Arabidopsis thaliana: one gene and its partners. The protein of the gene in region 1 purifies or fractionates together with the protein of each later gene. This does not show direct contact. Each region holds a gene or a part of one and is shown in the gene's direction. Other genes may lie near its edges.

What was found.
Region 2: the proteins of AT3G62310 (region 1) and Hop3 fractionate together in Arabidopsis thaliana (co-fractionation; one large-scale study listed by BioGRID). This does not show direct contact.
Region 3: the proteins of AT3G62310 (region 1) and AT4G22285 fractionate together in Arabidopsis thaliana (co-fractionation; one large-scale study listed by BioGRID). This does not show direct contact.

Annotation. Positions count from the first base shown.
Region 1 is NC_003074.8:23,058,932-23,062,685, reverse strand, and holds the start of AT3G62310 (RNA helicase family protein), read left to right. Parts: upstream 1-1,954; 5' UTR 1,955-2,124; coding exon 2,125-2,403; intron 2,404-2,534; coding exon 2,535-2,737; intron 2,738-2,827; coding exon 2,828-3,754. Other genes in the region: AT3G62320 (Polynucleotidyl transferase, ribonuclease H-like superfamily protein), read left to right, coding at 288-685, 764-881. UniProt on the Arabidopsis thaliana protein: May be involved in pre-mRNA splicing.
Region 2 is NC_003075.7:7,339,560-7,343,313, reverse strand, and holds the start of Hop3 (stress-inducible protein), read left to right. Parts: upstream 1-1,952; 5' UTR 1,953-2,074; coding exon 2,075-2,911; intron 2,912-3,368; coding exon 3,369-3,657; intron 3,658-3,746; coding exon 3,747-3,754. Other genes in the region: AT4G12410 (SAUR-like auxin-responsive protein family), read left to right, coding at 1-358. UniProt on the Arabidopsis thaliana protein: Mediates the association of the molecular chaperones HSP70 and HSP90. Mediates nuclear encoded chloroplast preproteins binding to HSP90 prior to chloroplastic sorting. Involved in acclimation to heat.
Region 3 is NC_003075.7:11,780,809-11,784,562, reverse strand, and holds the start of AT4G22285 (Ubiquitin C-terminal hydrolases superfamily protein), read left to right. Parts: upstream 1-1,867; 5' UTR 1,868-1,985; intron 1,986-2,405; 5' UTR 2,406-2,664; coding exon 2,665-3,024; intron 3,025-3,137; coding exon 3,138-3,382; intron 3,383-3,658; coding exon 3,659-3,743; intron 3,744-3,754. Other genes in the region: AT4G22290 (Ubiquitin-specific protease family C19-related protein), read left to right, coding at 155-310, 442-653, 1,172-1,364.

The DNA of each region.
Region 1 (3,754 bases):
AGTTATGTTTTGACTCTTCGTTTTCCTCTCCAAAAGTTGCGACTTCCGCGCTTCCCAATAAAGATGCAGAGCTTGGTTGGAACTTGAAAGAACTTTGTGGTGACATTAATAATGCAGAGCTTGGTTGGAACTTGAAAGAACTTTGTGGTGACATTAAAAGGGTCGTATTGTCTCTTCGTTTTCTTCTCCAAAGGTGCGACTTTTGTTATTCCCTTTACGCCTATATAATGGCGGACGCATCTCCCAAGTTTTAAACATATATCCCATTCTCTCCTTACCTTTGAGAGATGTCGACATCCACTGTAGAAACTGGATATGGTGGTCGCATCAGAGTGACAGTGGCTAGAAATGACAGAGACATTACCAGTGAAGTGAGAACATTTCTGTGTAATAAAGAAAACGCGAACAAAATCATCGGTCTGGATACAGAACGATCGGTTGTAGGAGGCGATAGCGAATACCCACCGGAGAGCAAGCTCGTGATTCTCGAGCTCAGTGATGGCCAGAATTGCCTAATAATCCCGCTTCCTTATGTACAAGGTAATAAGCTGCCCGTTTCTCTCACCAATTTCCTCAATCTTCCAGATTTCACCTTTACAGGTGTTGGTATAAACAAGGCTTTGAAAATGCTCAAGAGCGAGTGTGGTTTGACCTGCAAGAATGCCGTTGATATCGGACCTTCGTCGTGGGCCTCTCTCAGCTAGATTCGTGGCGAGATCAAACTTCATTTCAGTCATTGGGTCTCGTTTTGGAAACCAACAAGCCCTATCTATGAAGATTGGGACAATGACAGTCTTACCGAGGATCAGATCAATCTTGCAGCAGCGAATGCTTACTTGGCTTTCAAAGTTGGGAATTTGATTAGAGAAGCTATGTATTGAGTCATGCCTCTGTTTGTTTTTTTGTTTGTTTCGGTCTCTCCTATGTTTTGTCTTGTTTTGCTCGTCAATTGCCTGCAGTTCAATGGACGATTTTGTCACCATCTTAAATCATTTTGGCCCCAAGGTCTAATATTTGGTAAGGTATGCCCGTATGGGATTGTTACTTGTTAGAAACTTCATCACTTTGCAACACGCGACATTCGTAAATCGCAACCCCCATTACTTTACCCGGCTACCAAAGGGTTGAATCTTCTCACCAAAATAATTTAGTCCATAAAAGGTACAAATATTCGGCTTGTCATCTCGTTAATTATTGGGCTGGGCCTGAAATTTTAAAACCTATTACAAATCTATTATTAGCCCACAAACCTGGAACAGTTGGGCTCTTTTAAAAATTTAAAATTATGGGTACTGGAATCCAACGGCAGAGACAATGGATAAGCCTACAATCGTTATTAGACCTTTTTAGTCTGTCTGATTGTGTACAGAAGATTTGTTTCAGTTTAGGCATTATTGCATTTTGAAGACTTGATGGAATGGTTTATGTGTTGCCATGAAGAACTTATTCAGGAAGATAAAATCTAACGTTATGACATTACTAATATTTGCCTCATGAATCTTAAAGGTCAAGACAGCTGTACTACATGCATTTAACTTTCGACTCTTCGGTTTCCTCTCCAAATGATGTGGCTTTTGAAATCTAACGTTATGACATTACTAATATTTGCCTCATGAATCTTAAAGGTCAAGACAGCTGTACTACATGCATTTAACTTTCGACTCTTCGGTTTCCTCTCCAAATGATGTGGCTTTTGAAATTCCCTTTTACCTATAAAGATGCAAGTATATCTTGAGCACTTGGATTCATCATGTACCCTCATTATTCCAGTAAAATATGAATTCGAAGTGTTAAGACGATAATTTCAGTATATTCAGATATTGGGCCGGCCTGACAACTTTATACTTATTACAAAAGCCTATATTAGCCAACATAACTAACACTTGGCTCCTTTTCCAAATATTTTGAGGGGGCTAAAGTATATATTGTTTAGATTTGGGGTCAAATTGAAAATTATAATTAAACTTAAGCCGCCTCTCTCTTCTTCTAACTCACGCAGCCGAACCCTAGCTTTCATAAAATTTTCATTCATCATCGTTCTTGCTTCTTGCTAAAGGCCTTGCCTTGTGCTTCCTCGTCCTATCTCTCTTACCTCCGTAATTTGTTCGTAAGAGAAGTATCGTGATGGGTACTGAGAGAAAGAGGAAAATTAGTCTGTTCGATGTTATGGACGATCCGTCTGCTCCGGCGAAGAACGCCAAAACCAGTGGTCTTCCCGACGGCGGAATCAACAGTCTGATCAATAAATGGAACGGGAAGCCTTATTCACAGAGATATTATGACATTCTGGAGAAACGGAGGACTCTACCTGTCTGGCTGCAGAAAGAGGAGTTTCTCAAAACGTTGAACAACAATCAAACCCTAATTCTGGTTGGTGAAACCGGTAGTGGTAAAACTACTCAGGTAAAGTTTTCATCTTTTCCATTCAGATATTTGGAATTTGATATGTAGGCTTGGGAATGATTGTATATGGAGGAGAGTTTCTTTTGTCTAGAGAATGAAAGGCTAATGCTGAATTTTGTTTATTTGTACAGATTCCACAGTTTGTGATAGATGCTGTGGATGCTGAAACATCGGATAAGCGTAGGAAGTGGTTGGTTGGATGCACACAGCCTCGTAGAGTTGCTGCCATGTCTGTGTCCCGTCGTGTTGCTGAAGAGATGGATGTAACTATTGGGGAAGAAGTTGGTTACAGCATCCGTTTCGAGGACTGCAGTAGCCCCAGAACGGTTCTTAAGTAAGCATTGTCTCTTCTTTTAGCTTCTCATCTTTATAATTGATGTATTTGTGGACTTGTATCTAATCATGTGTTACTCACTATGACCAGGTACTTGACTGATGGTATGCTCCTGAGAGAAGCAATGGCGGACCCTCTTCTAGAGAGATACAAAGTCATTATTCTTGATGAGGCCCACGAAAGGACTCTAGCCACAGATGTGCTGTTTGGTCTTCTGAAAGAAGTGTTGAAAAATAGACCTGATCTTAAGTTAGTTGTGATGAGTGCAACTCTAGAAGCTGAAAAGTTTCAGGATTATTTTAGCGGTGCTCCTCTGATGAAAGTTCCTGGTAGGCTTCATCCAGTTGAGATCTTTTACACTCAGGAGCCTGAGAGGGACTATCTTGAGGCTGCTATTAGAACTGTTGTCCAGATTCACATGTGTGAGCCACCTGGCGATATTCTTGTTTTCTTAACTGGGGAGGAGGAGATTGAAGATGCATGCCGCAAAATCAATAAAGAGGTTGGTAATCTTGGGGATCAAGTGGGGCCTATTAAAGTAGTGCCACTGTATTCTACTCTTCCACCTGCGATGCAGCAGAAGATATTTGATCCTGCTCCAGAGCCTGTAACAGAAGGTGGTCCTCCTGGGAGAAAGATTGTTGTCTCCACTAACATTGCTGAGACTTCTCTCACCATAGATGGGATTGTCTACGTCATTGACCCTGGTTTTGCTAAGCAAAAAGTCTATAACCCTCGAATCCGTGTTGAGTCTTTGTTGGTGTCCCCAATTTCAAAGGCAAGTGCTCACCAGAGATCTGGTCGTGCCGGTAGAACACGGCCTGGAAAATGCTTCAGGCTTTACACAGAGAAGAGTTTTAATAATGACTTGCAGCCGCAGACGTATCCTGAAATATTGAGATCAAACCTTGCAAATACAGTTCTGACCTTGAAAAAACTGGGTATTGATGACTTGGTGCACTTTGATTTTATGGATCCCCCTGCTCCCGAAACACTGATGCGAGCCTTAGAAGTTTT
Region 2 (3,754 bases), on another chromosome or scaffold:
AGCACGGTGTTTAAGCCGTGGAGCTAAGAGATTGTGCGGTGGAAGCAAGAAGAATCCGGGTCAGAATCAGATCCGGTTGGGTAAGGATCCGAAAAAGTCGAACCGGGTTGTTCCTCGAGGACATTTGGTGGTTCATGTCGGCGAATCAGACGATGACACGCGGCGAGTTGTGGTGCCGGTGATTTACTTTAATCATCCATTGTTTGGAGAATTGTTGGAGCAAGCGGAGCGGGTTCATGGGTTTGATCAACCGGGTCGGATCACTATTCCTTGTCGGGTTTCGGATTTTGAAAAAGTCCAGTTGAGGATCGCTGCATGGGATCATTGCCGCAGGAAAAATTCTTACAAGATTATATAATTTGAATTTATAAAATAGTCAAAAATCAAAAGAGGATTAAAAAAATTTATATACACTTATACAGTACAGAGAAGGATGATTTCCTTTAATTTGTGAATATTAGTTTTTTTTACCATCTATGTTATACGATAAATACCGATTCATAAATACAAGATAATTATTTGTATCAGTTTATTTCATGGATGATAGACCACATTGACATCCTATAATACTATATGGTTTAGATTTATGTGTGTAATTTTATAAGTTAGAACAAAACTGAAATTATGTTCTAACTTATAAAATTACACACATAAAAACTGAAATTAAAAAAAAAAAACAGAAAAAACTGAAATTGGGCTATCAGTATTTTTGAATACTTATATTTCAATATATCAAATACAGTGAGTGATGGTGTATTGCTGTATCTGAAACCTATCATCCACTATAAACCCCAATTGAAGTGAAACAATCAATATTTAGAATTTCCATATAATGTTAATTATGAAATTACTTCTATCTAAATATATTTCAGAAGAATTTTTGAGATACCACTTTTATGATTTTTATTTTTTTTTAATAATACCACTGTTTTTTTTTTTTGTTAATTTTCAATGTAACACAAAATGCAATCATAGAATTTGTTTTATTAACTTTTATAGAGCATATTATAAAAACGTTTATAAAGTTTCTATAATGCATAATATCAAACATTTATAAGATTTTTCACAAAATTTTTAATGTTTTATAGTGCTTAGAAGATTTTTCTTAAGAAATGATATGAAACTAGAATTTTTGAACAACCTTTTTCTGGTCTTTTTGAAAAATGGTATCATAAAGGTGGTAATTTTCAAAATTTCCCAAATTTGAATACAAATTCAAATCATATTGTAGGAAAGTGATCAAATATGTTAAAATTTAGAAGATGAGGTGAGAACAAATGTGCAGAGGAGATGCACTTGCTAAATTTGCATCTTCATGTGATTTGTATTTTGCTTTTTAGATTGTAGTTTACCACTTTGGTTGGTTACAAGTATTTGGAGAAACCATGTACTACTTGTTCTTTGAGTATTAATATATATGATTATATGTGGTATGTTTAGAAAAAAACAAAAAAACCAAATATCAAACCTAAACTTATTAAAAGTAAAGACACATTTGATTAAAACCTAAACCAAAAACGTACAAAACTATTCGCTTATGATGATATTATTTATCATAACCAAAACTTTAATCACCATACATACCTCCGATTTGGTTTTCTCTCCCAAACTGGTCGTCTTCTCACCTCTGGTTTACTACTACTTCGGATTGAAGAATTTTGATCGTCTCGTTGCTAACTCCACGATGTCTTTCTGACGCTTAATCTTCTGACAGAAGACAAAGACATAGCATAAAAAAGTAAGCACAGAACATAAACGGATGTTTATTCTTTTCTAGACGGTATATTTACATAAATAACGAATCACTTATCAAAAAGCTGGAGTAGCTCAGTTGGTTAGAGCGTGTGGCTGTTAACCACAAGGTCAGAGGTTCGACCCCTTTCTCTAGCGTTTCTTTTCCTTTTGTATTTTTAAGATTTAAAAACATTTTTCCACGGCTACAAAAGAACATTCTCGACATACACAAAAAAATTCGAAATTTCGAGAACTCTCTTGTGCCTTCTTCTTCATCTTCCTCTGTTTTTAAAAATGCAATCAAGCAGATTCTCACGATACCTAAACCAAATCCAATTCAATGGCGGAAGAAGCAAAATCCAAAGGAAACGCAGCTTTCTCTTCCGGCGATTACGCCACCGCAATAACCCATTTCACAGAAGCAATCAACCTTTCACCAACCAATCACATCCTCTACTCAAACAGATCCGCTTCTTACGCTTCTCTCCACCGTTACGAAGAAGCTTTATCAGACGCGAAGAAGACTATAGAGCTTAAACCTGATTGGTCTAAAGGATATAGCCGATTAGGTGCTGCGTTTATTGGATTGTCCAAGTTTGATGAAGCGGTTGATTCGTATAAGAAAGGATTAGAGATTGATCCGAGTAATGAGATGCTTAAATCGGGATTAGCTGATGCTTCGAGATCTAGGGTTTCGTCAAAGTCGAATCCTTTTGTTGATGCGTTTCAAGGGAAGGAGATGTGGGAGAAGTTGACGGCGGATCCGGGGACTAGGGTTTATTTGGAGCAGGATGATTTTGTTAAGACGATGAAGGAGATTCAGAGGAACCCTAATAATCTTAATTTGTATATGAAGGATAAGAGAGTTATGAAGGCTTTAGGGGTTTTGTTGAATGTGAAGTTTGGTGGATCTAGTGGTGAAGATACTGAGATGAAGGAGGCTGATGAGAGGAAAGAGCCTGAACCGGAGATGGAACCTATGGAGTTGACGGAGGAGGAGAGGCAGAAGAAGGAGAGAAAGGAGAAGGCTTTGAAGGAGAAAGGGGAAGGAAATGTTGCTTATAAGAAGAAGGATTTTGGGAGAGCTGTTGAACATTATACTAAGGCCATGGAGCTCGATGATGAGGATATTTCGTATTTGACGAATCGTGCTGCTGTTTATCTTGAGATGGGGAAGGTATTAAGTCTTATACTTGGCTTAAAAGTTAAACCTTTAGGTACTTTAAGATTAAGGAGGAGATCTTGGGTTCTTGAAGTAGCTTATCTGTTTAGTATAGCTTGTCACTAGTTAGTACATTTGTGATGACCTTGATGGGTTTTGATAACTTTCATCTGCTTCTTGTTGGAGATTTAAGAGTTTTGAACTTAAGTTTTCACTTGTGCTGAAAGTAGTTAGCTTTAGATGAGGTAGAAATTTAGGGTTTATGGCTTCATGATGGAGTTTATTCACTTGTTCTGTAGAAGTGGTTATCTTTATTATTACTGGAATCAATTAATCTTCAAGTATCCTGAGTGGTTCAATTCCATTGGTCTATGTGTTCTTGCATTAGTCTTGTTTAATTAACAGTTGGTTCATCTGGATCTTACTGTATCTTGTGTGATGTTTTACTTCATTTCTCAAATGAAATTATCAGTACGAGGAGTGCATTGAAGACTGTGACAAGGCTGTTGAAAGAGGCAGAGAACTTCGTTCTGACTTCAAGATGATAGCAAGAGCTCTGACTAGAAAAGGATCTGCTCTAGTGAAAATGGCGAGATGCTCGAAAGACTTTGAGCCTGCGATTGAGACTTTCCAGAAAGCTCTTACAGAGCATCGTAATCCAGATACATTGAAGAAACTGAACGATGCTGAGAAAGTCAAGAAAGAGCTGGAGCAACAGGAGTACTTTGATCCTACGATAGCCGAGGAGGAGCGAGAGAAAGGTATATATACTGATCCTCAGTTACACTTACTATCTTGAAACGTGATTTGATTTTAGGATTAAGCATTTGACACTTCTTCATTGATGCAGGTAATGGA
Region 3 (3,754 bases), on another chromosome or scaffold:
TCGATTGGATTACAGTCGTCAACAGCTAGCTTAATGCGTTGGACAGACCATTTATATTGTCTGAATTAACAATGTTGATGTAGATATGGTAGTGTGGTCACTGGTGTGTCTTTTATTTGCTGGAAATGTTAAAACTTTTGTTATGTTTTTGTAGGTTGTGACATGTGGAAGCATTCCTTTGGAATCTTCGTTCCAAAGAACACCAAGATGCGTTTATGTATCCACGGAGTTGTATGAATACAAAGGTTTTGGTGGGAAATCCGCAAACCCAAAACATCGATGCTTTTCTTGGGGATCTAGACATGCAGAGGTTAGTTTCTTTTTCTCCTCTTGCAAAAGGACCATTTGTCTCAGTGATTTGGTCAAAGTTTTCAGATCTTATATGACAAGAAAAGATGGTGAAGTTTGATGATTCTTGTTGTGGTTATATTTCTTTGGCAGAAATATGTGTCGGATTTTTACATCTCGGATTTCCAATCTGGATTGCGAGCACTAGTAAAAGCAGGATATGGATCAAAAGTTTCTCCTTTTGTCAAACCGGCGACAGTGGCTAATGTAACAACGCAGAACAAAGATTTATCTCCCAGCTTCTTAAAGTGGCTGTCAGATCGCAACCTCTCAGCTGATGACCGTGTTATGCGTCTCAAAGAAGGGTATGTTATATTCAACACGCATCTTAAACTGTTCTTCGGGTTGCACGAAGTATCTTAGCCAAAATCTAAAAATAACGTTATTAGAGTCACTATCCAAACCTTGGATCCTTATTTTACCCAAATTACAACCTTTTAAACCCTGATTTCTTTAGTAGAATGGGAAGTATTAAACTGTTGATGTAGGCGTTTACTTTGACTGGTACCGTTGGTTATTCTTCCACATTAAAAGTCACAGTAATGGAAAAAGATGTGATGAGACATGTATTGTAGGAAGAAATCCAGCAACTATTGTCAACGTTAACGGCTTAAACATCTCACATCAGTGCATGATAAGTCTGAAGTTAAAGGGCTTAGAAGTTTGAATTAAGTCTAAAGCTAATGAGACCCAAAAGTCACCGTTTCTAGTACAAATGATCGTTTTTAGTACACAAGAAAGCTCATTGGTTTCACTTTTGCTGTCAAAGAGAATCCCTTTGTTACTGATTTAAAATCATATTTGATTGTGTGTGATGCAACAGATACATAAAAGAAGGAAGCACAGTGAGCGTGATGGGGATGGTAAGAAGGCACGACAACGTTCTGATGATAGTTCCTCCGGCAGAAGCAGTCTCCAGTGGGTGCCGGTGGTGGCACTGCCTCTTCCCAACCTACGCAGATGGCTTAATCATAACCTGCGACGATAATCAAAACGCTGATGTCATTCCTGTCTGAAACCAATATGTATGTAATGCTTCTTTTGCCCGATATTCAAATATAAAAATGCTTAAACAGTTAGGCTCACGAGACTGAAGGAAGGAAGAGAAGAGAAGAGAAGAGAGGGAATGAGAGGACAGCCAAATTGGTTCAAAAAGAAAACCAAATAGGCTTTGCCTTTTACCTTATTAGCTTTTGTTTTTCTTTCTTAATTCTGTTTTTTTTTTTTGCCCCTTGTATGGGGTTTATGTTTGTGTACATAGAGCCCCAAAGTGTAAATGCTCTTTTCTGTTAAAATAATTATTATGTCCTATCCACTATTCTTATCCACCAAGGAAACCTTAGGCATCTCTGCAATAGGTGCATGCAATGTTGTGCTAGTAAACAAGTAAGCATGAAAGCCGCAGAGAAGCTGATGACAACAAAGCCCATGTAGAAGCCTTTGATTGGTTTCCATAGTGGAAACTTAAAACTTAAAGCCCAAATGTGGAAAATAAAAGACAGCCCAAAACTTACCCATTTAATTTACGGTCTCTCACTCTGCTTGTGAATAGCGAAAACACAAAACCCCAAACTCTCTCTACGAAGGCGGATGCACGCTTCTCTGTCTCCCTCCACTCTCGAGTCTCGTCCCCTCTGGTCAGTTTTATGCTCACCGTATGACCGATTAATATCGATTATTGGTTGATCTCATCCCCCTTATAGGCTCACATGTTTTGATAGTAATGAATTGAATTATCAATTATGGGTTTGGGATTGAATTCTTTGTTTTTTTAGTAAAGCACAACACTTTATGTTAGATTCTCTATCTGCTTTCATTGATGTTAGCTGATGGGTTTGTCCAAATTTCACTCTTTTTTTGTTATGTAATGAAATTGAGAATTATGGTTCTGAGCTAGGATCCATCCTTTCTTTGTAAAGGAGTGTACTTTATCTTAGATTCTGCATTGATTTCAGCTGGTTGGTTTGTCCAAGTTTCATTCTTTTTCTGATGGAAGTATCTTTTCAGTTTTACTCATGTTTACTTATCTCACAGTGGCTTTTTTGTTTTGTTTGCAGTGTGTGATTATCTTCTTTGGTGTTGTTGATGCTGGAGATCTCTTATTCAGATTGATCACGCCTGAAAGGTTTATTAGGATTTGGCAAAAGGATGGATAGAATCAACGGTCTATCAGATCTCTTCTGATTTGAATTCTAGGGCGTTTGTTTGGAAGAATCATTGCTTCTTTGGTTGAGGATCTTTGTGAAACGCTGGGATTTTGTGTTCTAGACTTCTAGGGTTTTTGAAGCAAGCTGTAGCATAAGGAAAATTTTGAGAATGAAAGGTGAAAGAGAAGTTAAGAATGGTGTTTCTGAGGAAGAGAGAGAAGTGAAGAGGAAGAGAGTGATGGAACGGTCTGATTCACCACCTCCACCACTAGGTTTCAACAATCCTCTTCTGCCGTTGGCTAATACTTACGATGATGATGATGAGGAAGAGGAGAACGAGCAGAAGAAATCGCAAGCTCGTGGTAATGGAGTTGCGAAAGGGGAGGGAAATGGTAACAAAGTGAAAGGAGAAGCTCAAGAAGAGGTCGATGACGACGAAGATGATGATGTCTCGAAGGGTAAGGGAAAGCATTCACGCCATGTTGAAGTTCGCCGTGATTGTCCTTATCTTGATACCGTTAATCGTCAGGTAATTAATTTCTTGATTGTAATCTTTGATCAATGGTTATGTTTCTGCTGTCTTCATTGTATAATCGTTTTTGGTGTTGAGTATCTAAACTCATGTTGTATGTTGAATTTCAGGTGTTGGATTTTGATTTTGAGAGGTTTTGCTCTGTGTCCTTGTCAAATCTGAATGTGTATGCGTGTCTTGTTTGTGGGAAGTACTTCCAAGGAAGAAGCCAGAAGTCTCATGCTTATACACATAGCTTGGAAGCAGGACACCACGTTTACATCAATCTTCTGACAGAGAAGGTTTATTGTCTTCCTGATAGTTACGAGATCAATGACCCTTCTTTGGATGACATTCGCCATGTTTTAAACCCAAGGTATATTAGATCTTGTGACTACTACTTCATAGTTCTTACTGCATTTTGTGTATTGATTTGTGAACATGTGAGCCTTTGCACGTAGTTAACAACAACAAAATTGCTTTGACTATTATCTCAATCAGTTTCTTCTTGCTAGTTCTCTGTATCATCTACCATCTATTTATATTTTTATTCTTGATAGCTTGAACATATTACTCTTCTTTCATGTCTTGTCAAATTTTCTTTGATTTTACAGTTCCTTTTTATGAAGGCTTCGGTGTTATCCATTTACAGGTTTAGTAGAGCACAAGTAAACGAGCTTGACAAGAATAGGCAGTGGTCTAGGGCTCTTGATGGCTCCGACTATCTTCCAGGAATGGTAATCCTTTC